Linked DNA regions of Stegostoma tigrinum. The protein of the gene in region 4 purifies or fractionates together with the protein of the main gene of each other region. This does not show direct contact. Links are inferred from orthologs where the notes say so. Each region holds a gene or a part of one and is shown on either strand. Other genes may lie near its edges.

The links.
Region 1: the proteins of ilk (region 4) and gcn1 purify together in Homo sapiens (affinity purification with mass spectrometry; 3 studies listed by BioGRID and IntAct, with this or other methods). This does not show direct contact. The link is inferred for Stegostoma tigrinum from reciprocal best matches to the Homo sapiens genes ILK and GCN1.
Region 2: the proteins of ilk (region 4) and cct5 purify together in Homo sapiens (affinity purification with mass spectrometry; 4 studies listed by BioGRID and IntAct, with this or other methods). This does not show direct contact. The link is inferred for Stegostoma tigrinum from reciprocal best matches to the Homo sapiens genes ILK and CCT5.
Region 3: the proteins of ilk (region 4) and sdf4 purify together in Homo sapiens (affinity purification with mass spectrometry; 3 studies listed by BioGRID and IntAct, with this or other methods). This does not show direct contact. The link is inferred for Stegostoma tigrinum from reciprocal best matches to the Homo sapiens genes ILK and SDF4.

The regions. Positions count from the first base shown.
Region 1 is NC_081379.1:44,849,454-44,856,637, forward strand, and holds the start of gcn1 (stalled ribosome sensor GCN1), read right to left. Parts: upstream 3,023-7,184; 5' UTR 2,973-3,022; coding exon 2,955-2,972; intron 1-2,954. UniProt on the Homo sapiens protein: Ribosome collision sensor that plays a key role in the RNF14-RNF25 translation quality control pathway, a pathway that takes place when a ribosome has stalled during translation, and which promotes ubiquitination and degradation of translation factors on stalled ribosomes.
Region 2 is NC_081355.1:89,123,563-89,131,192, reverse strand, and holds the start of cct5 (T-complex protein 1 subunit epsilon), read right to left. Parts: upstream 3,008-7,630; 5' UTR 2,943-3,007; coding exon 2,838-2,942; intron 471-2,837; coding exon 410-470; intron 1-409. UniProt on the Homo sapiens protein: Component of the chaperonin-containing T-complex (TRiC), a molecular chaperone complex that assists the folding of actin, tubulin and other proteins upon ATP hydrolysis.
Region 3 is NC_081381.1:29,565,534-29,572,513, reverse strand, and holds the start of sdf4 (45 kDa calcium-binding protein), read left to right. Parts: upstream 1-3,972; 5' UTR 3,973-4,257; coding exon 4,258-4,568; intron 4,569-6,980. UniProt on the Homo sapiens protein: May regulate calcium-dependent activities in the endoplasmic reticulum lumen or post-ER compartment. Isoform 5 may be involved in the exocytosis of zymogens by pancreatic acini.
Region 4 is NC_081359.1:113,379,958-113,386,864, forward strand, and holds the start of ilk (integrin-linked protein kinase), read right to left. Parts: upstream 3,006-6,907; 5' UTR 2,993-3,005; coding exon 2,897-2,992; intron 1-2,896. UniProt on the Homo sapiens protein: Scaffold protein which mediates protein-protein interactions during a range of cellular events including focal adhesion assembly, cell adhesion and cell migration.

The DNA.
Region 1 (7,184 bases), on a different chromosome or scaffold from region 4:
CTTGCCTTCATCAAGCTTCTCTATCACTTCATCGAAAAATCCAGTTAGGTAAATTGAACACTATCTGCATTTCACACACTGATGCTGGATCACTTCAAGAAACTCAAACCCTTATAATTTATTTCCCTTATTATTTCTGAAACCTTACAAAATCCCAGTGCTAAATTGACTGACCTGTGGCTACTAGGAAAGTCCTTATATGCAATATCTTCGTTCAGAAAGCATATCAGCTTTTGGCACCCCTATTACCCATTGGTCCATTTCAGTTTTCCTCGTCTGTCATTGGTTCCATTTTACCCATACCAGAGTCATAGAGCTGTACAGCATGGAAACAGATTGTTTGGTCCAACTCGTCCATGCTGACCAGATGTCCCAAATTAATCTAGTCCCATTTGCTAGCATTTGGCCCATATCCCTTTAAACCCTTCCTATTCAGATACTCAATCAGATGCCTTTTAAAATGTTGTAATTGAACAAGCCTCCACCACTTCCTCTCGCAGTTCTTTTCCATACATGCACCAACTTCTGTGTGAAAAAGTTACTACTTAGATCCCTTTAAAATCTTTCCCCTCCCATCTGAAACCTATGCCATCTGGTTTTGTACTCCCCCAACTTGAGGAAAAGACTTTGACTATTCACCCAATCCATGCCCCTTGTGATTTTATACGAGGTCCACCCTCACTGAAGTTAGTCCTCTTCTACTTTTGAAGTTGTGCTTTAGATTGCAACTTTGTTCTCCATTACTAATCCAAACCTTAAGATATGTCAACCTACCTCAATTTTATTCCTCCACTATCTTTTCTGAACATTGTGCCTTTAATAATTAAGTGGTCAGTTGTCACCATTTTTATTTCCAGCCGATTACAATCCAACGATGCTATTTCAGCTTGTGATTCATCAACCTCATTAACCACACATCCATTCTGAAGCTGTTCTATATTCCTTGCAGTTTTTCTCAGTATGCTCCTAGCTAGTGTAGTACTAACAGTATTCCACGGATGTAATCTTTTATACATTTATTTCCTCTTTTCTGCATCTCTACATTGGTACCTACTGCTATGACAGTTTAGTTCAAATACTCCCAATCACAAAGTGAATTTCCCATGAGAACATCGGACAAATGTTCCTTCAAACAAGTGCCTTTTCTATCACATTTGCACCTATGTGTACCACAACTTGTTGCTCATTCCCTTTCCCCTGCACTTTGTATAATGTTCTCTTGACACAGCCCAATGTACAGTCTCCAAGCTCAGGATCTCTCTTGCCACCTCTCCCAAATCGTCAACTCGCTACAACTGCACATATTTGTCTTTTTCTCAACTTGTCTTCTGGCCCAGGTTAACAATTCCTGATCTTCACCCTGGATTCTATATGTCACGTTCACACATCTCCAAGCTGTATACCCTTGCTATCCTCGTCCCCAATACCCACCCAATATATACTCTCATCCTTTCCTCTCCCAAGCTTGAGTATCTCTGATGGAATGGAGAATATACTTGGTGCATGAGTTGGGCTAAATTGAGAAAGAATTGCGCATCATCAGACTTAATCTTTCACTCTGACCTATTTGTTCCAGAGACAATTGTCTGGACATCTGGATGTACATCTATTTGCAGTGGATGATCAAATATCTTCTGTATCTTGTCAAGGTCTACACACTTCACATCTTCAGGATTGTTGGACCTTAGATTGTTAAGTCATGCTCAGAAGGAACAACTCTGTTCCCAGGCTGGCTTGCTGCACATTTAAGTGATTCATCTGGTAACGGTCCCTGCCTTCAGCTGGTTCTCACCTGGACCTGTGGAGAGATTTCAGTATACAAACTCAGCCACACCCCAGTAAACAGCTTGAAAAGGATGATTAAACTGCTGAGGGCAGCCTACGGATTCCAACTCATGGCAACTTAAAGATGTGGCGACTCTTATATGTGACAACGGATTACAGCAGACAGAGCAGAACAGCCCAAAGGTCCAATAGTTTTGAAGATGGGTCAGCATTGTTTTGTGGAACATACAACTTAGCAAGATACAGATGATGTCCTAATCTCCCCACTGCTTTGAGATTAAACTCCAGCAATCTAGACTTACGCTGCCACTCGAAGAAGTTAGGTCAAATGAGATAGAGGCTGAAAATGCCCAATTCTCCCTCAAAATAATCAAATATACAAGCAAGTCATGTTCATCATATTCCTATCATCCTCACAATTGCACTGGTCATGTAGCCAGAACCCATGCATGCAAAAATCAAATTTTCTATAGACAAGTAGAGTTTTTATAGCAAATAGAATAAGAGATACTTTGGCATCCAAAGGAAGATGAGGTCTTGGCTAACACTCCAGACTGGTGTGACAGAGTGGCTGAAAAACTTCACACCAGACTGTTCTATGAAAACAGTACAATCACTCATTCAGAAATTTGGATATAGACTTCAACTTCTGGGAAAAGCTCAGCCAAGATTACTGCCCTAAACTGTGCAGCCTTATCGAATCAACATTATACCAGAAACAGAAAGTAAACACCAAGGAGCAAAAACCTCCAACCAGCAACTCGGCCAAAACACAGCTGTCTGTAGTACCTTGGTCTTACATGCAGCAGCACCTTCAGAGGACTGCTCGGCATTTGTGACCGCCAACGCACCCCTCGAAACCCCACCAACCGCCTTAGATGAAGAACTTGATCATCTTCACCCCGAATGATCAACAAGATGCCTCTGATCTCTCACTAATCGCGCTCCCACCCTCAGAGTAACAGCCTCCACTCTAATTCTTCTCTCCCCCAGAGTTTTGAGAGTGCCCACCCGCTGCCCCCGTTATCTCTCAAACTCCACTCCCGACTTCCCCTCCCAGATCAACGTCTCCCCCACACCCCGGGGAGGCTGTCTGTCGATTCCCGGCTCCTGCCTGCGATTCCACGCAGGCCCAACACAAGCCCAAGCTCCAATCCGCCAGCACAGACCTGCGTGTCCGTCGCCATTTTCCACAACACGCCGGAAGAGGAAAGGGTACCGCTTCCGGGTTACCTATCCATCCTCGGGGGGAAGGGGCGGGGCCGGAGTGGTTACCTGGGAGGCCCGGTCACTAGGCAACAGCTCAGCTGCGCCCCAGCAGCATCAGGACCAGCAAAAGGCCGTCACTCAGCCGCCACTAACTCCACCAATATTCTGAATTCAGGATAAATTTAAAATCCAGTACTCTGAAAGCCTCCAAAATTGTTTTTCAAATAGCTCCAATATCCTCACCTCTCCCTAACTCTGAAATTTTCCCTCCAGCCCCACAATCCTCAACCAGATGACTGAGTTCAGCATTGACTGAGAGTGAAACTTGTGCAGAGGACAAAGATACTGCTGCCTTTTCTTACTTTTCTTTCTATTTATTACCTCCATGGGATGTGGACATCACTGACCAGGCTGGTATTTGTTGTCCATCCCTAAGTGCCCTTGCACTGAGTGTGTTGCTGGGCCATTTCAGAGGGAAGTGAAGAGTCAACCACATCGTTATGTGTACGGAGTAACAAGTAGACCAGATAACAGATAAGGATGTCATATTTCCCTGACTACAGGACACTAGCCCTGGAGCGTGTCCAGCGGAGATTCACACGGATGATCCCTGGAATGGTAGGTTTAACGTATGATGAACGGCTAAGGATCCTGGGATTGTACTCATTAGAGTTTAGAAGGTTGAGGGGAGATCTAGTAGAAACTTACAAGATAATGTATGGTTTAGAAGGGGTGGATGCTAGGAAGTTGTTTCCGTTAGGCGGGGAGACTAGGACCCGTGGGCACAGCCTTAAAATTAGAGGGGGTAAATTTAAAACTGAAATGAGACGACATTTCTTCAGCCAGAGAGTGGTGGGCCTTTGGAATTCATTGCTACGGACTGCAGTGGAGGCCGGGACGTTGGATGCCTTCAAGGCAGGGATCGACAAATTCTTGATCTCAAAAGGAATCGAGGGCTACGGGGAGAGTGCAGGGAAGTGGTGTTGAAATGCCCATCAGCCATGATTTAAATGGCGGAGTGGACTTGATGGGCTGAATGGCCTTACTTCCACTCCTATGTCTTATGGTCTTATGGTATTGGTGAAACAGGTGTTATTTTATAATAATCAGTTGTAGTTCTGATGGCACCATTATTGAGACTCACTCAGATTTATTAACTCCAGATTTATTAATTGAATTTAAATTCTATCAGCTGCCATCGTAGCATTTCAACTTATGTCTGCAGAACATCAGCTTGGGCCTCTGGATTACTAAACCAGTGACAATATGCCACGCCACTATCTTTTTTTTTCTGCAACCTGAAGTATTTAGCACTTTGTCCACTACTTGTGCAAGCTAATAACAAAAAGGAACCCAAAACTTGCAACAGACTAAAAACAACATCAATAAGCTGCCTGATTTACAGTAATATGTGGCAGAGCATGTCTGAACTGCAGTAGGTGGGATTTTTTGATTAGCATGACTGTTCCAAGTGAACCTCTCTGCAAAAGAATTCTCCATCTCGTAACTCCACCCCGCCCCCTCCCGCCAGCTCTGAGACATTGAGTTGGAATGTGAGTTGGAGAGTCTCCACCACATAAGGCAGTGCACAGCACCAGAACAGTCTGCTCCAGACTTGGAATCACCTTATAAATAGGTGTAGATTCAGAATGTGGCTTGAGACACTGATAATATGCAGAACAAGACAGCACTTACTAAAGTATTTCCTATGTAACCCTATATTAACACTTGAAGTTAACATGATCTCAGATGTAACAAAATAAACAGCGAGAAAGCAGTATAGAAACATATATAGTTAGTATATAAGTATTGACCAACTTATGAATCATTATTCAATCCGTTACACAAATATGAAAATCAGCACTTTAAAAGTACTTTGTAAAATAATACTACTGTATGTGCTCACCAGTCCATTACTTCATCTAAGGCACTCCAGCTTATGAACCTTGTTCAGGAAGCAGCACAAGCAAAGATTGAAGTTCTTGACATGACTGATCTTGGAGCCCATGTCATTCTGCAGAGCCAACATGACAAGTAGACCACAGCCAGCAGTGGAGACATTGTATTGGGTTCATGGCCAGGGCTGTGTTTCCAGATTTAGTGATGCTATTCAATGCTGGAGTAGGATGGTGGTGGTTGAAAAGTACACGACCTGTTTCTCTGTTTCTGTGAGACCAGTTGAGGGCACAAGTCAGGGTTTACAAACTGCTGGAGTAAGAGGAATCCAGATGAGATACGCAACAAGGAGCCACTCAAGCTGATCTGAACAAGTAAAACACATTTCCTATGTATAAACCTAAGGATAGAGATTGCTGGAAGGAACATGATATCTTGGTACAGGAAACTATTGAAAGGCATGTGGAGGGGACCCTCATATGATATCTGTGGAATACAATGGTAGACTTTATTCCTTTTCATTGTGGGAAGGGCTGATCTATTTTACGCTCCCAGCATTTGCTGGCTTTATGTGAGACACATGCATTTTCCATATTTTTCAAAAGCTTAGCTATTTCCATTTGATCGTTGACTAACAAATGGTTGTGTTACTGAAAAGAAAATTTACATAAAACAATGTAATGGAGCTGAAGTAGGTCATGTGACCATACAAATGTGCTCTGTCATTCAATAAGGTCATGACTAATCTTTAAACTCACTGATATCTAAACAATGATAACCACAGTTCCATCTTCCCACACTGTCTTTAGATCCTTTGATTTTCTCAATATCCAAAAATTAGTTAGTGACTGTATTGACTATACTCAATGAGTTTATGAGAATTTTTATATTTCAATAACCTTGCACACTAATTTCTGGAGTAATGCATTTTGTTTAAATGTGTGGCTCCCTTTATATCATTTTGCACAGCTGCCCACACAGAATAGCTTGAATGGACTGACTTGTATGCAAACTGCCCAGGTTGCTGCACAGGCTAGGCAGGACATTAAACTTGAGCTAAGGAATGTCTCCTCATCTCGTATCTTTTTATTAATTAATGGAATGGATGCATCTCTGGTGAAGTCAGCATTTATTGTCCATTCACAATTACTGTCAAGAAGATAGTGGCAAGTCGTCTTCTTGAATACAACTCAATAGCTTCTGATGTCAATTAAGTGTCAGATGCATTCCTGTGAATCTGGATTCACAAATAGATGAAATCAGATGTGGCCGTTAGTGAACAAGAAGTGAACGAGAACCAGATAATCCAATCGTTGTAGTGCATCATTACTTACATTATCCTTATTTTATTCGTATTTATTAATCTTTTATTTTACAATTCTGAAGAAGTCACTAAGCCCAAATCATTAGCCTGTCTTTTCTGTTTACAGGTAATGATTGATATCGGTGTATTTTTAGCATATGTGTTTTCATTTTTGTTTTGCATCATCTTTGTTAACGCTTTGTAAGAATGGTAATCCAATCACTACCAGCAGAGGGCACTGTCACACCTGGCTGTACACCAAATACTATAGATGTTTGTCTGGTGCTGTCCTCCAGTGGCATTTACAGCAATGTGAACCAGAGCAATGTGTTGTACATACATAAAACCTATCTAATCATGGTCCGATGTCAAACTTGAAATTCGTTAAGGAAGAACGGGAAAATCACAGAGCATGTTAAAAGGTCAGCAAGGTTGAGATGAAGAAAGATGTGGTCAGAATTAAGATGAGGAAAAAGGACATTTGGCTGAAGTGACATTCAGGAGTTAATGGAGCTTCCATTCTTTATTGCCTGTAAGGAAGAGAATAACAGCCATGTGACTCCAGTACTGATAAACTGAGAAAGAGCTAGAGACTAAAGACAGCTGAGGCATGAACTTAACTGTTGCATCTCTCAAAATGAACAGGTTTGGTGATGTATACTACCAAATTGAGAACTACTAACTGTGCTAACTCATTGTCTGTCACGTCACAGGGTTTTATTTTAGAATAGAGGCTGATCACTATCTCTCTCCTCTCCAGCAAGGCTAGATGAGGGGCAGTCTCTGGAGAAGAAATGAGCTGTTGGACAGCTCCCTCACTCTGTGTTTGTCTGATGAATGCAGTCCAAAATGCTGCAACTATCAATAGGGCAAAACTCACTTGAAATACAAAATGCAGTGAACGCCTGCACCAAATTCCCCTCACCTTCTCCCTTCTGGTACTCATTAGTTAGCTGTGCATATGATTTAGTATTGATTCACGATCCCAGGT
Region 2 (7,630 bases), on a different chromosome or scaffold from region 4:
TCTTACTGCTGAGATAACAGACCTCCAACAACCCACACATCTCCTATTATGTCGGGAATGACTTCAATCAAAAAAGAATATTTTCCCTAGTTCTCATGAACTTGAATTTTTATTGGGCTCCTTGATAACACATTCAGCCTAATAAATGACCAAAATTCTTGTTAGGCAAAGGTTGTTAATCAAAGTTTAGAAGATAACTGGAAATGTGGAGTTCAAAACACTGACAGATCAATAGAGATCTCACTGAATGGTGGAGCAGCCTCGTGGGATGAAACGGCCAACTTGCACTCCTAATCTGTATATTCACAAGTAAGCAAGTGTGAATTAATCTAAGAGAAGCTTATTCGCTTCACATTCTTCAGTACTTCAAAACTGAGATCTACCTAAAACTCTAAAGTGGTGATCTTACCCTTTGGTCCAAGGGAAGTCCTCAACGTATTGGACACTGCTTTTGCTGCCATAATATGCGACTGTAATGAAAGCAAAAACATTAGAATTTTACTTCAAAAACTCAAATGTCAGAAGTCTAGTCTTTTTGAAAGAACTCTAAGCCTTCCTGTACTTAAAAGCAAATAGCATTTATTTTTAACTATTCATTGAATCAACATGACAGACTGTCTAGATTTCTAAATTGGTAATTGCTTATTTTATAGATGCTAGTGCTGACATTCAAAAATACCAACTGGAAAATCTGTGTCAGAATATCAAAAACAGAAAGTGTTCATGTGCAAGGTAGACCTGTTATTAAGAATCAAGATTCTGCTAAAATGTATCTCCTACATTTTGACTTTATTATACAAGTATAATTAAATGCCATTGCCAAAATGACACTTAGTGGCGTACTTGGATCTAAAGCCCAGAAATTGACCATGTGGTTCATTGGTCTATTCGTGTTTGTACCCCAGAAGTCTCTTTCACTTCAAATACCTCCTCCCATCTTGTCTTTATATCTCTCCATCATCCAAATGTGTGTGTCAATGTTATATGTTTACTATTTCCTTCGGAGTGGGAGTCAAGAAAAATTTGAGACTGCACTCCAATTAAATTCACTAGCTGTAAAACACTGAGGGACATTTGTGAGCATGACAGGTGCTAATAAATGTCGTTTTTCTCCTTTTAGGTGTACATTCACAATAATAATGAAAAATGTTTTCAGTATTAAGTGCTCAATGAACAAAATCTAAACATGAGAAACAGCCTCTTTGATACAATTGTGGGTGAATATACACCATATGCAATTACCAGGCGATTAGGAGGACCCTGTTGAGACAGCTTAATTAAGTTCTTATCCTATAATTTCACTTGGTACTCCTGGGCTAACAAGGGCCAAAGACATCAACCAAGGCTTCCATTTGCAATTACTCAGCATTTCCAATTAGACCACAAGATGTAGGAGCAGAAGTGTAGGCTATTCAGCCATCAAGCCTCTTCTGCCATTCAATGAAATCATGACTGATTCCCAAATCCACATTCCAACTTTTCCCAATAACCCTCAATTATCTAAATGATTAAAAATCTATCAAACATACTTAATGACACCCCCCCACCCCAGTCTCAACAGCCGTCTGTGGCAAAAAATTCTATAGATTACTACTCTTTGAAGGAAAGCTTCTCATCTTAATAAAAACCAAAAGAACTGCAAATGCTGTAAATCAGGAACAAAAACAGAAGTTGCTGGACAAGCTCAGCACGTCTGGCAGCAGTGAAGAGAAAAATCAGAGTTAACGTTTCTAGTCCAGTGACTCTCCCTCCAGTTCTGAAGAAGGGTCAGAGGACCCAAAACGTTAACTCTGATTTTTCTCTTCACAGACACTGCCAGATCTGTTGAGCTTTTCCAGCAACTTTGTTTTTGTGTCGATAATCAATGTTAGGCTTATAAGAATAACAGTTATTTAAGGCAAAATTAGAATGAGAATTAGATAGGGCTTCCGACAAAAGTCAGTATATCCAAGAAAGCAGCAAAGTAAATGGTTTAATTAATACATTCAAGCAGTCAATTCATAAATTTATTCCCAGTTTAATCACTCCCCAATAAAAATCGCTTGCCGATGGATTTATTCACAAAGAGAGATTTAGCAAACCAAACCAAGTGAAATCGAGGTGCAGCTAAGTGAACTGGAGAGCCAAATGTCATACGTCTTAGAAACTAATGTCGAATTAAGTCAGTTTTTTAGAGAATGGATTCATATTGCAATGAAACTACATTTTTGGCGGGCTGTTGTTTCCCTTTCACAGGATCGTAAACAAACTTTTCATTCATATTTTCATCCAGATTTAGTTTTTGATCAAACGTGCTGGAATAAGGATGACAACTACAACGCGATGTATCCCAGATGGCTGCCCAAGTGTGAAGTCCCACCTTCTCAACTATTTTAGGATACTCGAAACATAACTGCATCAGGAGATGAAATGTTAAATGGGTTTAGAACAAAGTCTTGTGAATCGGCGAGGTTTTGTTTTAAATCCTCCGGAGGAAATTTTTCTATAAAATGGACAATATCAGTCAGGACGAGATGGCAATACAACAATTAACGTTAACACACTGGGAGTCAAACTCCCATCTTTTGGTCGTTGCTTGCCGAGTGTCGGCTCCACACTATCACAATGCCATGATATGGTATTTAAAAAATAAAATGCGCTTAAATCGACGCTCCGAAATCAGTCACTTCACTCCGAGCCTCCGATCAAAGGAGATCGGGGGTCCGAGTCGCATCGTATGGTTGCACTAGACACCGAGAGATTAGATTTCTGATCAAGTACAGGCCGCCGGCGCTCTAGGCCGCGACACCACATGTGGGTAGCAGCTAACAAGCCCGGGCCTCTGCTTGTGCCGTTACCTTCAGAGCCTCCAGCCCAGTTAACCGAGATTTGGTTTCCTGATCCTTGACGATGATGAAGGGTCGTCCATATTCATCGAAGGCGAGAGTCCCCAAAGTGGACATGTTTGCGAGCTGACCGGATCAAACCCGCTCACTCCCAGCTCAGTCTCCGCCCAGCAGGTTCTTGGCGGCGGGGGGGGGAAGGGGCTCGAGAACCGGCTTCTGGAACCGTCTAACAGACCGCACCACTCACCATGGGGGGGAGGGTGTGGACGTACACTGATAAATGGGTCAACACTAACAATTTTGACTGCTGTTTGTTTCTATTCTTAACGAATAGAATTTAAAATGTAATCGTATGTCTAATAATTCCAGGTCTGTGTTAAAAAAGTCCAGTGAAATGTTGTGTGGGGATGGGATAATAATAGTTTGATCAGAGGTCCTGCTGGTTCTCGCGAGATTAGGAATTGCCGCCGGGGAGGAGGCGGGTGGAGGTGTTGGTGGTGGTCGCGTTTACTGGTTTTTTTCCCCCTCTTTGTTTGGTTCGGGCTGTCTGGGCTGGATTTTCTGAGGAGTATATATCACAAATACATTGCCTCTCTAACTCTTTAAAAAAAACGACCCGGCCCTGCATTTCTGCTGGAGATTCCTGATCAGGGCTCCTTCAGAAATACGAATCTGTACTTCCAGTGTAGTACAGCGGGGCAGTGGTAGTGCCTGCGCCTCCGACCCAGGAGAACCTGCATTAGAGGTGTGTTTTGACATCTTTGAGCCGGTTTATCGGAAAATAGAAAAGACAGTTAGGGTGGCTTGGTGTTGCTGCTTCCTTACGGCGCCAGAGACTCAATGCCAGACTTTGGTAACTGCATAGTTTGCATGTTCTCCCCATGTTTGCAAGGGCTTCCGCCAGGTGCTCCAGTTTTCTCCCACAGTGCAAAGATAGGCAAGTTAGGTGGATTGAAGACTTTTTTGGAGACCACATCTGGAGTACTGTGTGTAGTTTTGCTTTCCATATTTAAGGATATGCTTTTCTTTGGATATGTTACAGTGACAGTTCACCAGATTGGTGTCCTAAATGAGCAGATTGACCTTTGAGGCTGAATAAATTGGGTTCTCTGATGCTGCCTGGCATGCTGTGTTCTTCCAGCACCACACTGTGTTATCTCTGATTGGCAGTTCTTACTATCTCTAAATTATCCTTTGGTGTGTTGGGATATGCAGGCCAAGTGGCTTAGCCTTAGTAATTGCAGAGTGGCGTGTAAGGAGCTGAGTTTGGATAGGATTCATTTCAGAAGTTTGGTGCAGATTCTTATGGCCTCTTTGCATACTGGGGATTCTATGATTCTAAGATCTGCTTTTCTTAACAGCAGTTTAGATCACAGTCACTTTGCCAGCTCCTGTGAAAGGAGTAAATGGTGCCTATAAGGTACTAGGGCTCAAGGTAGCAAGGGGAGAAAACAGTTTTGGCAGGAGGTGGGGCGGGGGATGATGTGTTGTTGTGGTTGTGCTGGGGGAGTATGTGAAGTTGGGTAATGAGACAAAGAGACTACACAGGGCCGTAAGGCGTTCACCTCTGGCAAATGGTAAGGGGGTGGAGTGATGTCAAGAGTGGTTGTGTGTCAGGAGTTACAGTTGGGTCCAGAGCAGGAACATGTGTGCCAGGTCCATGTGCTGGGGAATGGGTTCCCAAATGGAGGAATGAGTTTGGTCCAAAGGCTGGAGAAAGGTGTCAAGTTTGTAGGAAGTCTGTGTTGGGGGAGTGAGGAGTCAGGGACAGAGCACGGTGTTCTGGATGGAGGCGAGTGCCTTGGTCAGGGTCCTGGGGAGTTTGAGATCTGGGTGAATTGTAATTGAGTGTATGCAGTAAGTTCGGGCTCAGCTAAACAGTTATTCAGGAGTTAGGTATTTAATAGTCTAACTTTTCTTGAGTAACCTTTTACTTAATTGCAGTGACACCCTCCAAATTCAATGATTTAAATAGATACTGAGGTTGAAGACTTGTTTGCCAAACCAGTGTGTTTGATTGTAGATGTTTCGTTACCTTGCTAGGTAACATTGTCAGAGCACCTCCAGTGAAATGTTGGTGTTCTGTCCTACTTGTTATTTTATATGCCTCAGATTACTGGCAACCTGAGCTACATATCTTCTCAAAAACTTTAAATAGATACTTTCAGAGGGTTCCAGATAGGGGAATTGCACGACAAAATTTCAATTTCTTCGACAGTCTGCTTGGAGTATTCTATGATGGGGATTATGTCCCTGTGCACAACTCGTATCTACTGCAAAAATGATTATCTGACCATTGGAATATCTAGGCTGCCAGTTTTGCTTAAACTGTGCAAAAATGGAACCTTGAGATGTACTGTGTAACCATTTGACTCAGTTTTGTGGGATGGCACCAATCGTTTTGCCTAGGCTGATGCAAAAAAGCAAAACGAGGCAGCACAAATAAACACTACCTACATCTCCTGTGGGTCACGGAAGACTTTCAGCATTTGCTATTTTTGCAGTTGGATTTGTGCTTAATTTCTGAAGACAGAGTGTGTAAGATGAGATCTTGAATACCTGCTGTCTGAACGCAGAACGAAAGTATGCAAAACAAGATGAAAAAGAAAATTCATCAAAGAAGGCATCAAACAAAATGGGGCCTGTCGCACCCATTCAAATTGTTGATCTTTGTGATTTGTCGAGAAAGCTGTGAAATGCTATTCCACAAGCTTGCCTTAAGCTCCACTAGAATACCCATTCAGACTGGGAGCCAAGTCAAAAATTTAAAATGACAGCCTACTGGAAGCTTGAGGCTATTTTTGCAAACTTAATTATGTGTTCTGCAAAGCAGTCACCCATCTGTATTTTTCTCCCCATTTAGTGGAGACCAATTCATTAGCAGTGAATGCAATTTCTCTAAAGTGCAAATAAATCGCTGTTTTACCTGGAAGTAATGCTTGATATCTTGGATACTAAGAATGAGGGAGATAATCTTCTGTTGCTTCTTCTGCATTTGTGTGGATAAATGCTGTGGAAAGAGTGGAAGAGTGTTTGAGGTGATTGAGCCAAGGGTGTTTGACATAGTGATCTTTTCAGAATGCTGTCAGACTACAAATACGAGCAGGAATAGACCATTTAGCCTGTTGAAAATATTCCATTCATTTAAGATGATAGTGGCTAATCTTTGGCCTTCACTGTTTTCCCATTGCTCCCTATGACCCTTAATTCCCTGTAGGATCAAAATTTTGTCCACCCCAGCCCTCAAATAAGGCAGCAGTGCTAACCACTGAGCCACCATGGCACCTTAAAGTATGAACTATTTCAGTCCCATTAGAATTCTATACATTTCAATAAGAGAATATCCTAATTTATATGTGGACCCAATTTATTCAGCCTTAAAAGGTCAATCTGCTCATATTAGACACCAATCTGGTGAACTGTCACTAACATATCCAAAGAAAAGCATATCCTTAAATATGGAGACCAAAACTATACACGGTACTCCAGATGTGGTCTGTCCAAGATGTCTATGTTGTATTCTAATGCACCTGTAATAAAGTTTAGCAGGCCGTTTACTTCCCTAATTGTTTTCTGTGACATCGTATTAATTTTCTGCATTCTTTATACAAGTATGCCCAAGTCTTTATGAACATCAACAGTTATAAGTTTCATTTTTAAATTTGTTCATGGGAAGTGGGCATTGCTGGCTACACCAATATTTATTGCTCACCCCTAATTGCCCTGGGAAAGGTACTAGTGAGCAATTTGCTTCTACCACTAATCCTTGAGCTGTGGAAAGCAGATTTCTGGGTTTTGCTGTGAAAAATGAAGGAATGGTGATAGTTTCAAGTCAGGATAATGTGTAACTTGCAGGGGCTGGAGTTCCCAAACATCTGTAGCTTGTCCTAGGTGGTCAGCTGTTAGGGATGTCCATAACAGAGTGGCACAAAATGGTCACTAACTGCCCCTGACTGACTGTACAGCAGAATGTCCGTGATAATAGATAGAGAGCCTTAGAACAATGTTTTCTTAATGTAGTCTCGGCAAGTGGAACAATAGCAAGACTGTTTAATCAAGTTTACTTGCTGGGATGGAATGTACTGCTGCAATTCTTTACATAGATAAGAATATTTTACCCAAAGTAAATGTTTCTCTTGAATTATTAAATCAACCTGTTACAATGTTAGGAGTAGGTTTTAGTCAAGATTCTGCTTTAGTTGCTAGAAGAACTTAACATAAGAACTAGGAGTAGGCCATTTGGCCCTTTGAGCCTGCCCTGCCATTTAATAAGATCATGGCTGATCTTTGAGACTTAGTTCCATTTACCCGCCCACTCACCATAACCCTTAATTCCTTTACTGTTCAAAAATTTATCTAGCCTTGCTTTAAAAACATTCAACGAGGTAGCTTCAACCACTTCGCTGAGCAGGGAATTCCACAGATTGGCAACCATTTGGGTGAAGAAGTTCTTCGTGACCTCAGTCCTACATCTGCTTCCCTTTATTTTGAGGCGATGCCTCTAGTCCTAGTTCTACCTGTTAGCGGAAACAACCTCCCTGGCTCCACTTTATCTATTCCTTTCATTATCTTATGTTTCTATAAGATCTCCTCTCATTCTTCTGAATTCCAATTAGTATAATCCCAGCCTACTCAGTCTCTCCTCATAATCCAACCCTCTCAACTCTGGAATCAACCAAGTGAATCTCCTCTGTACCCCCTAGTACATCTCAAGTAAGAAGACCAAAACTGCAAACAGTTCTCCAGGTGTGGCCTCACCAGGACCCTATACAGCTGCAACATAGCCTCCCTGTTTTTAAACTCCA
Region 3 (6,980 bases), on a different chromosome or scaffold from region 4:
CAATCCTAATTCATTTGGCTTGCCTCCTTGATATTAAAACATCATTTTATTGCATGCAGTTATTAAAATGTATCCCATGGTGACCATGCAGGTGAGAAGCCCAAATAAATTCACTTCTGTTCCCCATCATTTTTATTTGGTTATCAATGACTTATCTTCCACAAATTTTTTCCTGTATTGGTTTGGAGAAATAGAACTTCTCCATCTATCCTGTATAATCAATGAGAGATTGATGCTACGATACCAGTTGATGTTACAAGTAAACAAGTCATATCTCTGACAGAACCCTGGCTTGGTGGATCATGCTGTGATTTGTTTTTGTTTTCATGAAGTGGTCCCTTGCTGAACATAGGCACACAATGCTGCAGATTTTTACTTTAACGATGAAAAGAAGTTTATTAGTCAAAGAAATGAGCATAAAACAGGATAAACTAAACCATCTGTTATAATACCAATTCAAAGATTTTTAAACATACAGTGCAAGTATAATCCAACTAGTAATGGCATTGATACAAATAATGGACATTTCCAAGGTTTGAATTACTGTCTACTTATCTGCATTACGCAGCAAATCATCAACCTGCTTGGGTGTGAAAACAACTTCCATAAAATTCTCTGCTTCCAGGAGATTAATATTGAAAATGACACAATTCTAATTTCAATGTTCAGTTTAATCTGCTCTGCTAGATGGCAGATTGAGGAGCACTGCTCCTGAGATTGCAGGCTTATTTCCAGATTTACTTCTAGATTTCTTCAGTTACTTTAAGTACATGAATAAGAAATCTTTGGAGGTATATGGCGTAGTCCTGCTCCTATTTCTTTATGTGCATATTTAAAAAATGGGAGGGAAGCATGTAGAGTCAGAATTTCTTATTAGATGTTTGATGTCACCTGACACTTCATATCACAGACTCCATCTTAGAACAGGCCACTTGAAGTGTGGCACACCAATGAAAGCATACAGCTTTTTGTTACCAAATAACTTGATGTTTGCCCAGATATGGATGTGCCCATGAATGCAATATCTGTATAGTCTGCTGTAACAAACATCTCAGTGATTGTTTCAATAACACATTAGCCCTATGTAGTCTTGTGTTATGAGGGATAACAAACATTGCCATCTCATGTAAAGAAGGCTGAAGGCAAAAAGCCCATCATTAGGATACCCTGTTGCAAATCACTACAATTCAGGACATTTAAGTGGTGAGGTAATTTAGGTAAAAGACAGGTAGTAAAAGGACAGAACAGTGCAATTAGAGTGCCTCCAATGATCAGGTTTGTGATCTGGAAGAAAAATACATTACAACAGCAAATCTAATGGGTTAGTATTAGTCATTTTGGTGTGTCATAGCTGCCTCAACAGGTTAGGTGGTGTGTCAACCCCTGAAATGATCTAAGTATCTACTGTTTTTACAGATGTTGACTCCAGTGCCTTATTTCTGCTAGTGGGGTCGAGGAGGGGACAATGAACCTCCCTTATGAGTTGGGAAAATTGTTATGCCCTTCAACATGTGCATCCCTTCAATCTCTATTTTTTAAAAAATGACTGAACTAATACAGTTACTTTTTGTTCAATATGACAGTGAAAAGTTTTCATTTGTCACCGTTATCTGGCATCATTTTGAATAAATTAGTAAGGATTAAAGTGCAAGCCCAAACAACATCGGAATCACCTGTCTTGGTGCTGGGCCTACCTCCAATGGCGCTGTGATGCCCATCTGCTGCTGCTTCATCACTGCCAGCATGAGACCCAAGCAGTGACAAGGTTGCTGATCCTCAGGTGCAATGTCTCACCCATAAGCCTGCCTCTGGTGATGTAACCACCACCGATTCTGATGCCAGGTCCTGTGCTCACCCTGGAAAGGTAAGGACTCATTCAGGGTCAACACTGGGCCCAATCAATGTCTGCCTGGTACCTATCAAGGTCTGCTTACCTGGCCTGTTCAGGGTCTGCGGTGGGCTCTCGCTGCTAACGCTGACCGAGCTCAGGACTAGAGGTAAGAAAAGATATACGGCGGGGGGGGGGGGGGAGAAAAAGAGAAGAAAAGAAAGAAAAGTGATCGGAGCAATGAGCTCCTGTTCAGGAGCTCTACTCCTGTGCCATCTTCTTCAATTCTGTCAATAACTCAGAATCTGACTCCCATTAAGAGTGATAGAGGTGTATATCACAAACAGACTCTGGTCCAATTCATCTATGCTGACCAGATCCTAAATAAATCTTGTACCATTTTCCAGTATTTTGCCAATATCGTTCTAAACCTTTCCTATTCATATAGCTATCCAGTTGCCTTTTAAATGTTGTAATTGTACCAGCCTCCTCCACTTCCTCTGGCAGCTCATTTTGTACATGCACCACGCTTTGTGTGAAAATGTTGCACCTTGGGTCCCTTTTGAATCTTTCCCCTCTCACCTTATTCCTATGCCCTGTGGAAAAGACCTTGGCTATTTACCTTATCTATACCCCTCATGATTTTACAAATTTCTATAGTATCACACCTCTGCTTCTGACACTCCAGGGAAAATAGTCCTAACCTATTCAGCTTCTCCATGTTGCTCAAACCATCCAATCCTAGCAATGTCCTTGCAAATCTTTATGAACCCTTTCTAGTTTTGCAACATCCTTGCTATTAGCAGGGAGACCAGAATTGCAAAGAGTATTCCCAAAAAAATGGCCGAGCCAATGTCCTGTATAGCTGCAACATGACCTCACAACTTCTATACGCAATGCACTGACCAAAAAAAAGCAAGCATACCAAACACCACCTTCACTATCCGATCTACCTGTGACTCCACTTTCAAGGAACTATGAAGTTGCACTCTTTGTTCAGCAACACTCCCCAGAACCTTACCATTAAGTGTATAAGTCCAGCCCTGATTTGCCTTTCCAAAATGATTCTTTTTAAACTTGCATCATTTTGGGATTATCCCTTATTTCTAATCTGTATGCATGTGTATTGCTTTACTAGTTGTTGGTAATTAATAAATTTGCTCTTTGACTCAAGAAAGCCTAGTTTAGTTTGCACCTTTTGAAGCATGAGTTCATTTGGGTCTGAGAGAAGGGTATTCACCAGGAAAGGGATCCATTTTTAAAGTGACCTTGTTATAACTAAACAATGGAAAAGTGGATGCAGGTGAATAAAGGGAGCCAGTTCATCTCATCTCACGTCACCCAGACGCTCAACAATTCGGGGCATGCTATCTGGAACCATAACAAATTAAGGAATCCCACGAGCAATGGGAGCATCAGCCACACACCAGTCAGACATGGGAACTATATTGCCGTTCTTACCCTGTGCTGTGTTAAAATTCCGCAAGTCACTAACAGCATTGAGTGTGATCTTAACAACCCTCGGAGTTTCTAAAGAACACTGCTGGCCACCACTTTGTCCAAGAGTGAAGGGATAGGCAATAAAATGTTCCTCTAAAATAATGCAAAAAAAAGGGGGAATCCGGAGATCTGAAACAAAAACAGAAATTGCTGGAAAAAACTCAACCAGTCTGGCAGTATCTGTAGAGAGAAAGCAAAGTTAACATTTTGAGTCTAGTCATTCTACCATACCCTAGCCAGCGACATTCCACATCCCACGAATAAGTGAGTTAAAATACTTGGAGGGTTTTAGCACTAAGGGCGATAAATGAAGCGAACTCTTGTTGGTGCAGTGATAATGGGAACTGCAGATGCTGGAGAATCCAAGATAACAAAGTGTGAAGCTGGATGAACACAGCAGGCCAAGCAGTATCTAGGGAGCACAAAAGCTGACGTTTCGGGCCTAGACCCTTCATCCTCCGTCTAGGCCCGAAACGTCAGCTTTTGCGCTCCCTAGATGCTGCTGGGCCTGCTGTGTTCATCCAGCTTCGCTGATATCTTGTTGGTGCATCCTCCTCCAACCGAAGTGTGGCATAGATGCAAGCGTGTAAAGTCAGTCCTCCAGGCTAGGGGGAGTCGGAGAGGGCATTGTCGATCGGGACCAGTGCTTCCTCCTTCTTGGGCTGGAGCCGGGTTTTTTTTGTGGCTTGCGGATTGCAGGTTCGATGCTCCGCTGCCGTGAGTGAGGTCCATTGTGGTTTCCGGCTGTAGAGAACGCCGTAACAGCCTCTCACGGTAGCCCCTTCTCCACCCCGGTGGGTGACAGGAAGATATCACCTCCCGGCTGTAGGGGAAGGTGAGGAGGGGGATGTGACAGGCACCCGAGGCTGACGCAGTCGGTGGATCAGCGCGGGGAGGGTTTTGGGTTTTCGGGCCCGGTGGCTCGGACCATGGCCTCGGGGAAGTCGGTGCTGTGCGGCGTCGCCAGCCTTTACCTGAGCGGCTTCTGTATCTTTCTGATGGTCGATGTCTACGCTCGGCCGACCAACAACTCAGCCGTCAAGCGGGAGAAGTCGGGCGCCAAGCTGGACGACAACGAGATCCAGCCCCCGAACCACCTGAGCGGGCTTAAACTGGAGAAGGGGGGTGTCCTGAACAAGGATTTCCACCAGGAGGTCTTCCTGGGCAAGGAGATGGATGAGTTTGAGGCGGACTCCGAGCCCGTCAGAAACCGAAAGAAGCTCATTGCCATTTTTGAAAAGTGAGTACTGTCGTCAGCATTTTCTCGGATGGGAGACAGGGCAGGATTTATACACTCAATAGTAAGGTCCTGGGGAGTTGTTAGTCAACAAAGAGACCTTGGAGTGCAGGTTCGTAGTTCCTTGAATGTGAAGTTGCAGGTAGACAGAATAGTGTTCGCAGTTTGGGGCTGGGCCCAGATCTTTTAAAATGACAGTCATTCAGAAAATCTAGTCTCAGTGCTTAATCCTACCCTAGTTGATAATGTTCTAAAACCAGGATAAGTTTTTGTTTAGTAATTGAGTGTGGCTGGTATTTATGCTTGGCACTGATTTCTTGAACCAAGATTAGGAAAGTCACTTGAGAATGTGACACTTATTATTCTTGAATGCACGATTCTAGTATTTGCTTTTTTAAAAAATTCCACCGTGGCTTTTGTTCACGTCTAACACCACACCCTTGGAAATGTGAGCACTTATGATTATGGTATCATCACTCTCAATTTTAAGTGCTCTGTGGTAGTTGCACCTTCAGTTGCCTAGGCCCAAAGTTTTTGTAAACCCTTTCATACACCTGTCTGTCTCTCTGTCTGTCTCTCTGTCTGTCTCTCTGTCTGTCTCTCTGTCTGTCTCTCTGTCTGTCTCTCTGTCTGTCTCTCTGTCTGTCTCTCTGTCTGTCTGTCTCTCTGTCTGTCTCTCTCTGTCCGATGTCCTCAAAACGTTCCTTTTTTGGGTCCTTTAACAAAATCTACTTTTTTGTGCTTTGGTGTAATACTTTTGTTTCAGAACATTCTAAGATGCTTTGCAGAAACATTATATCAGGTTAAAGGTGCTACATAAATATGTTGTTGCTCAATATGCTGAGAATTTCGAGTTAAGTGTCCTCTAGTTTTTTAAACTTGTTCCTAATCTCGATGTGGATCACATTCTGTCTGTACTGTTTACACTGTGTTAATAATTGTACGGTTATCACTACAGCATTTAGTGAGTATATGATGAGCATGAGGTTAGTACATAGAAACAATTTTGTTGTTTTATACATCGTGCAGTTAAGAGTTATACAGTGGCATTCCAAATGGCCTTTGAGTAGATGGTGATGATGTCCCTTTTTGTTGTTGTTGTGCAGTGCCTGTTCGCTTTATTTTGATAACCTTCAATCCTTTGTTTGCACAGCCATGCAAGTTAAACCTAAAGGAGTTGACTTGTGCACAATTTATTTGACTTCTGCATTGCTACACGGTTGTGCATCCCAGAGAGAGCATTGGTGGTGAGCTGTCACTTGAACTGCTACGATGTGTTGATATTCTCCAGTCCTCAAAGGAATTCTTGTATTTTAGTGACAGTAAAGTTCCAAAGCAGAATGATGGGTGACTTGGTGGGAAGCTTTGGAGCTGGTGGTGATTCCATGTATCTGCTGCCCTTGTTCTTGACATGATGCTAGGGACAGATTTGGTAGATACTGTCAAAGGAGCATTGGTAAGAAGTTGTAATTAATGCTGCATCATTATAGAAAATACTCCCTCAAGCCAGAGTGCTGCCGGAGGAATGAATTAAGTTGATGAATGAGGTGATGGGCTACTTCTTATTCTAGGAGTGTTAACCACCTTGATTGTTGTTGCTGCCCTCATTCAGGCAAGTGGGAGGGATTTAACACACTCTTGACTTGTGCCTTGCCGATGGTGGATAGACTCTGGGGAGTTGAGAGGTGAGTTACTCAGCAAATAATTCCCAGATCTGACATGTTCTTGTATCTACAGATTTAATACAATTGGGTGAGTTAGGTTTTAGTCACTGCTGACTCCCAATACATTGGTGGACGGTTCAACGATAGTAATGCCATTGAAGGTCAAGCAGGGCTAGACACATGCTTATCGTTGCTTGGCACTTGTGTGTCATGCATGTTACTCGCCACTTATCTACCACAGCATGAAGGTTATCCGTATCTTCCTGCATCCAGGCCCATTATCTGAGCTGTTCCAACTGGTGCTGAACATTGTGAAACATTGGTTGAAGCAGCTGGAAATGGACTGTACAATTAAATTACTTTTTAACGCTAAGATAGAGAAACAAAGACTTATTTGAAAACTGGACATTGAGCCAAGGAAGAAAATATTTTGAGGCTGTTACAAAATATTTCTTGGTAGAAGTGAACGTGAGTTTAAAAGAGGCAGGAAGATTTTAGAGAGGGCATGGCCACCACAGATGCATGGAACAAATGAAGGTGTGGAGTCTGGAATCACAGGAATAAGTAATTTGGTATAGGGTTGTTTGGCAGGTAAATGGCTTCACTCTTCTCCATAAAGAACTATGAAAGTGAAAATTTAAGGTGTTGAACAAGCAAGATTCGTATCCGTGAAGGAGTGGACCTTTTGTGTAGGATCTGAAACGCAGCAAGTAATTGATTAATTGAAGTTTATGGAGGTTGGAAGGTAGGA
Region 4 (6,907 bases):
AGAAGGCCCTAGGCTTGAAATGTCAGCCTTACTGCATTTAATGCCCTTGGTAGCAAAGAATCAGCCACATTATTGGTCTGGAGCCAGACATAGGCCTGACCTGGTAAATACAGCAATTTCCTTCCCAAAAAGACACTGAATGAAACAATCAAAATTCCTGAGGAATATGGCTTATGTGCCTGGGATACATGACATTGCTGAATTACGTGGAAGATTTCAAACTTATCTGATGGTAGCAACCTTTAATGGAACATACAACTTGCATGGCCACTGTAAAACAGCAGTATAAAACGAGTTTTCTGAAGAAGGGTCTAGGTCCGCTACATCAGCCTTCCCGCTCCTCTGATGCTGCTCGGCCTGCTGTGTTCATCCAGCTCTACACCTTGTTATCTCAGATTCTCCAGCATCTGCAGTTCCTACTATTTCTGTATAAAACAATTGATCTGTTGTCCAACCCAGGCATTTGGGGAGCCTCAGTGAGTACAGGACAGCTTTAGTACAAATATAGGCAGTGCAGTATATTGTCAGCACATTTTTGTTCATATATATTGTTACCATTGTTTAAAACTTGTCCTTGTGTTTGGCCTGAGAGCAAAGCGAAAAGATCAGACAAAATATTATATAATGCAAAACTATATTATGCAAAATACTGCAGAAAACAGAAACAGAAACTGAAGAAACTCAACAGGCTGGGCAGAATCTGTGGGCAAACAGTTAAAGCTTCGAGTCTAGTATGACTTCTTCAGTTCTGAAAAGAGTTGGAAAATATCCTTCTTTATGCTGTTGACAGAGGCAGAATCCCAGTGTAAAAAAGTTGCTCATGATGGAGAGAGATTTAAATTGATTGTAAATTAAGGTTTGAAAGAGAGAAAACGATCCTCTCTACTAAGAGCAAAGCAAACAAGACAAGAGAATGAACAACATATCTTTCTTTTCAGCAAAATTCAGATTCCCTTTTATTTACGTCACAGCATCAAAAAACTGATCAATTTGTCAAACAGGATTTCCCCTTTCACAGAAGCATACTGACTCGATATAACTGAGTTATACTTTCCTAAGTACATTGTTAAGACTTCCTTTGCACACATCATTCTGAATTGGTACTGTATCACCATTCCTTCACTGTCACAGGTTCAAAATACTGCGTTCCAAACAGCATCGTGAGTGGTCCCAGACCCCAAGGACTATAGCAATACAAGAAGGCAGATCAATACCATCTCTGTGGCTATTACAGATGGACAATAAATGCATATAAAGGAACAAAAATGGTGCGCTGTTTTGAATTTTAGCAGAAATTTCATACCGATTAAAGTTTAATGGCAAAAACACAAAGACCTCAATCAATGAAAATACTTATAAAACATAAACAATGGACTACATCACTATCAAGGAAACCAGAGAAAGCCCAATCCAATAAATATCCCCATACCTCCGAAGCTCAGTGCCTCTTCAGCCCAACTACTCCAAGGCTCAGTACCCCCACCCCCTCAGGTTCAATGGCCCTCACACTCTGAATCATTCATCTAGCCTGGCAAGGCTCAGTGCCTACCCCCCACCTCGCCCAACTCGCAGGCTGGATGCTGTCAAACCCCCAATCCCTGCTTCAGTGCTCCTTCAGACACCCGACTTTACCCTAAACTTCCCCACACTCAGGCTCCGTGCACCTGATATCTCCTGAGGTATAGTGCCCACACCCACAACTGAAGATCAGTGTCCTCTCATACCTCCATTTCAGGAATTTGACAATCCATTCCATACCCCCAGGCACATTCACTCCCAACATTTGCACACACCTCCACACCCAGAATCAGTGTTCTGATACCCCCGCCCAAGCACATTCACCCCTCGCACTCGCACGTGCCTCCCCATCCCCGATCAGTGTTCCACCTCCCCACCCCTGGGATCAGTGTTTCTCACTCCCTCCTCCACCCAGCACATTCACCCGTCACACTCACAAACACACCTCCCCTGGGATCAGTGTTTCCCACTCCCCCTCCCCAGGGATCAGTGTTTCCCACACCCCCTCCCTGGGATCAGTGTTTCCCACACCCCCCTCCCCAGGGATCAGTGTTTCCCACACCCCCCTCCCCAGGGATCAGTGTTTCCCACACCCCCTCCCCTGGGATCAGTGTTTCCCACTCCCCCTCCCTGGGATCAGTGTTTCCCACACCCCCCTCCCCAGGGATCAGTGTTTCCCACACCCCCCTCCCCAGGGATCAGTGTTTCCCACACCCCCTCCCCAGGGATCAGTGTTTCTCACACCCCCTCCCTGGGATCAGTGTTTCCCACACCCCCTCCCCTGGGATCAGTGTTTCCCACACCCCCCTACCCTGGGATCAGTGTTTCCCACACCCCCCTACCCTGGGATCAGTGTTTCCCACACCCCCTCCCCAGGGATCAGTGTTTCCCACACCCCCCTCCCTGGGATCAGTGTTTCCCACACCCCCTCCCTGGGATCAGTGTTTCCCACTCCCCCTCCCCTGGGATCAGTGTTTCCCACACCCCCCTCCCCAGGGATCAGTGTTTCCCACACCCCCCTCCCTGGGATCAGCGTTTCCCACATCCCCCTCCCCAGGGATCAGTGTTTCCCACACCCCCTCCCTGGGATCAGCGTTTCCCACACCCCCCTCCCCAGGGATCAGTGTTTCCCACACCCCCCTCCACCCAGCACATTCACCCCACACCCCCACCCCCAGGCTGAGTGCCAACTAACTGCCCCACCCCACCCGAGGCTCAATGCCGTCCTGAGCCAAAACTCGGAATCGTGGCGCCGCCTCCCCCCGTTCTTCTGGTTATTCCCTCCCAACCCCGTTGCCCCGGTTACACTCTCCCAAGCCCCGTTACCCAGGTTACGCACTCCACCCAAATCCCGTTGCCTCGGTAACCGGATCCTCACCGTTTCTTTCAGGTTCGCCCCAAAGCGAGGAAACTTTGAGAAGCCGCGCCTGCGCAGCGGTAACGGCACCGCCCGCCGTTTTGGAGAAATGCGCATGCGTATCACCGCCTTCATCGCCTCCTGGTGTCCCGCCCCCATACCCGTTGAAGGTGCACGGCCACGCCCCTGGAACGGGAACCGCCTACCGCAATCCGCCGGTGTACGACTCCGCCCCACGCCCCGCCCCCACGCCCAGGTGAGACGATCCACATCAATTGGTATCAGAGATATTGGGAACTGCAGATGCTGGAGAATCCAAGATAACAAAATGTGAGGCTGGATGAACACAGCAGGCCCAGCAGCATCTCAGGAGCACAAAAGCTGACGTTTCGGGCCTGGACCCTTCATCAGAGAGGGGGATGGGGAGAGGGAACTGGAATAAATAGGGAGAGAGGGGGAGGCGGACCGAAGATGGAGAGTAAAGAAGATAGGTGGAGAGGACAGTATAGGTGGGGAGGTAGAGAGGGGATAGGTCAGTCCAGGGAAGACGGACAGGTCAAGGAGGTGGGATGAGGTTAGTAGGTGGGAAATGGAGGTGTAGCTTGAGGTGGGAGGAGGGGATAGGTGAGAGGAAGAACAGGTTAGGGAGGTGGGGATGAACTGGGCTGGTTTTTGGGATGCAGTGGGGGGTGGGGACAAGCTGGGCTGGTTTTGGGATGCATTGGGGAAGGGGAGATTTTGAAGCTGGTGAAATCCCCATTGATACCATTGGGCTGCAGGGTTCCCAAGCTGAATGTGAGTTGCTGTTCCTGCAACCTTCTGGTGGCATCATTATGGCACTGCAGGAGACCCCCGATTTTGATTTATTGTAGTCACATGTACCTAAGTACAGTGAAAAGCTTTGATTTGCAAGCAGATCGGAGCAAACCAGGACCTACAGATCATAGATAATAAAATGTGAGGCTGGATGAACACAGCAGGCCAAGCAGCATCTCAGGAGCACAAAAGCTGACGTTTCGGGCCTAGACCCTTCATCAGAGCTCTGATGAAGGGTCTAGGCCCGAAACGTCAGCTTTTGTGCTCCTGAGATGCTGCTTGGCCTGCTGTGTTCATCCAGCCTCACATTTTATTATCTTGGAATTCTCCAGCATCTGCAGTTCCCATTATCTCTCTCCTACAGATCATAGGACGCTTAGACAGAGCGAGGCATTAGGTTATGGCTGCAGAGGAGCAAGGTCAACATTAGATTTAAATTAGAGAGATACATTCAGCTGCCTAACAATGCCAGGGAATCACTACTCTACCTCTAATCACCAAGCCATCATCACCCAGACCGTCGACAACTTCATCACCTCGGGAGATTTCCCGTGCATAGTCTCCAGTCTGATAGTTCTCCAACACTGCATTGCCCACTTCTATCTCCTACCCAAATCCTGAAACCCGTCTGCCTGCTCCTGCCCCATTGAGGTCACCTTCACCAACCTCAAATCTGTTCTTTCCCCTTTGGTCCAGGAACTCCCCATCTACATTTAGGACACAACCCACACCTTCCACTTATTTGAAAACTTTCTATTTCCAGCCTTAAACACGTCAATAGACAAGAGGTGCAGGAGCAGGCCATTCGGCCCTTCGAGCCAGCACCACCGTCTTCATTATGGACGTTCAGTCCCTGGATACCTGTATCCCACACAGGGATGGCCAAAAATCCCTCTGCTTCTTTCTCTCCCGTAAGCCCAACCAGTTCCACTCCACTGACACACTCATTCACTTGGTGGAACTGGTCTTTTCCCTCAACAACTTCTCCTTTGATTCCTCCCACTTCCTACAAAACAAAGGGGTGGCCACAGGCACCCACTCAGACCCGAACTATACTTGCCTTTTTGTAAGATTCGTAAAACAGCCCCTCTTCAACAACCATAACCGCTAAATCCCTCAGCTCTTTCTCTGTGATACTGATGACTATCAGTGCTGCCTTGTATGCTTGCAAGCTTGATTAGTACATCAACTCTGCCAACACCTTCCAGCGTACCTTCAAACTCACCTGGACCATTTCTGACATCTCCCTCCCATCTCCATCGCCATCTCAGATAACCGACTCTCCACTGGCATCCACTTCAAACCCAAATGACTCCAACAATTACCTCAAATACACCTCCTCTCAGCTACCCTCCTGCCAAAATGCTATCCTATATTCAATTCCTCTATCGCGGCTCCCAGGGTGAAGTATTCTACTCTCGGACTTCCCGGATATCTTCCTACTTTAGAGATTGTAATTTCCCCTCCTCCGTTATTAAGGAAGTCCTCACTGCATCTCCATTTCCTCACTTCTGCCCTCAACCTTCTCCCCCCACAACAATAAGAATAGAGCCCGCTTAGCCCTCTCATACCACCCCACCAATATCCATATACAATGCATCATCCCCCGACATTTCCAACACCTACTATCAGACACTATCACAAAAAAGATGTTTTTCTTCCCAACCATGTCTGCTTTCCTCAGGGACTACTCACTCACAACTCCCTCATTAGCTCCACACTCCCCACCAACCCCTCCACCACACCTGGTACCTTTCTCTGCAACCACAGGAGGTGCTACACCTGCCCCAACACCTCCCCCCTCAAGTCTGTCCAAGGCCACAAACAATCCTTCCAAATCTGCCACAGATTCGCTTCATCAAACCTCATCTATTGTATTCGGTACTCCCCACGCAGTCCCCTCTATATCGGAGAAACCAAACACAGACTTTCCTGCTCCTCGGATGTTGTCTCACCTGCTGTGCTTTTCCAGCTCCACATTTATTTACTCATGCTTCCAGTGTCTGCAGTCCCTTACCATCTCCATGGCAGGGAGGAAGCTGTTGGTCCATGTGTTCAAGCTTTTGTATTTTCTGCCTAATGGAACAAGTTGGGAGATAGCATTACCAAGTGGGAAGTGTCTTTGATAATGTTAGCAGCCTTTCTGTGGCAGCGAGCCATGTAAATAGAGTCCACGGATGGGATGTTGCCTTCCATGATGGTCTGGGGTGTGCGCATCACTTTCTGTAGTTTCTTATGGTCCTGGGCAACACAGTTGCTATACCAGGCCATTAAATACCTGGATTGTATACTTTCTATGGTGCATCTGTAGAAGTTGCTGAGGGCCCTTACAGACATCTCAAATTTCCCAAGGTGCCTGAGGAGGAAGAGATGTTGAGGAGTCATTAACCTCAAATTCAACAACAATCTGACCGTGACAATGATGCTTTGCAGAGAATAGTGGTTTCTGAGATCAGCCAAAGCAGAATGAGACACAGATGTTAAACTGTGGGAACTATGGGAGAATATATATATAGAGGGCAAAATCTGACAAAAGGCGCCACCTACTTAAAATAGAGATGACAAGGAATTTCTTCTCTCATCTAAACGCGAATCTCTGAATTCTTTATGCACTTGGCTTTAGAGGCTAGGTCATTAGGCATAATCAACAATAAAAAAGACCTTTAATCAGTGATGGACTCAAGGGTTAAATAGAAAAACGAAAAGAACAGTGGATGCTGTAAATCAGGAACATAAACAGAAGTTGCTGGAAAAGCTCAGCAGGTCTGGCTGCATCTAGAGAGGGAAATCAGTTAACTTTTTGGGTCTGGTGATCCTTCTTCAGAAATGGAAACAACAGCGAACACCAGGGAAGCAGCATGGTTCTAACTTCTCTGGTGCCAGGGATATCACAAAGATAGTAGGAACTGCAGATGCTGGAGAATCTGAGATAACAAGGTGTAGAGCTGGATGAACACAGCAGGCCAAGCAGCATCAGAGGAGCAGGAAAGCTGACATTTCGGGTCTAGACCCTTCATCAGAAAAGGGGGAGGGGAAGGGAGTTCTGAAATAAATAGGGAGATGGGGGAGGCAGACAGAAGATAGATAGAGGAGAAGATAAGTGGAGAGGAGACAGACAGGTCAAAGAGGTGGGTAAAGTAAGGAGTTAGGGAGGGGATATGTCAGTCCAGGGAGCGGGATGAGGTTAGTAGGCAGGAAGCGTTGAGGTACGGCTTC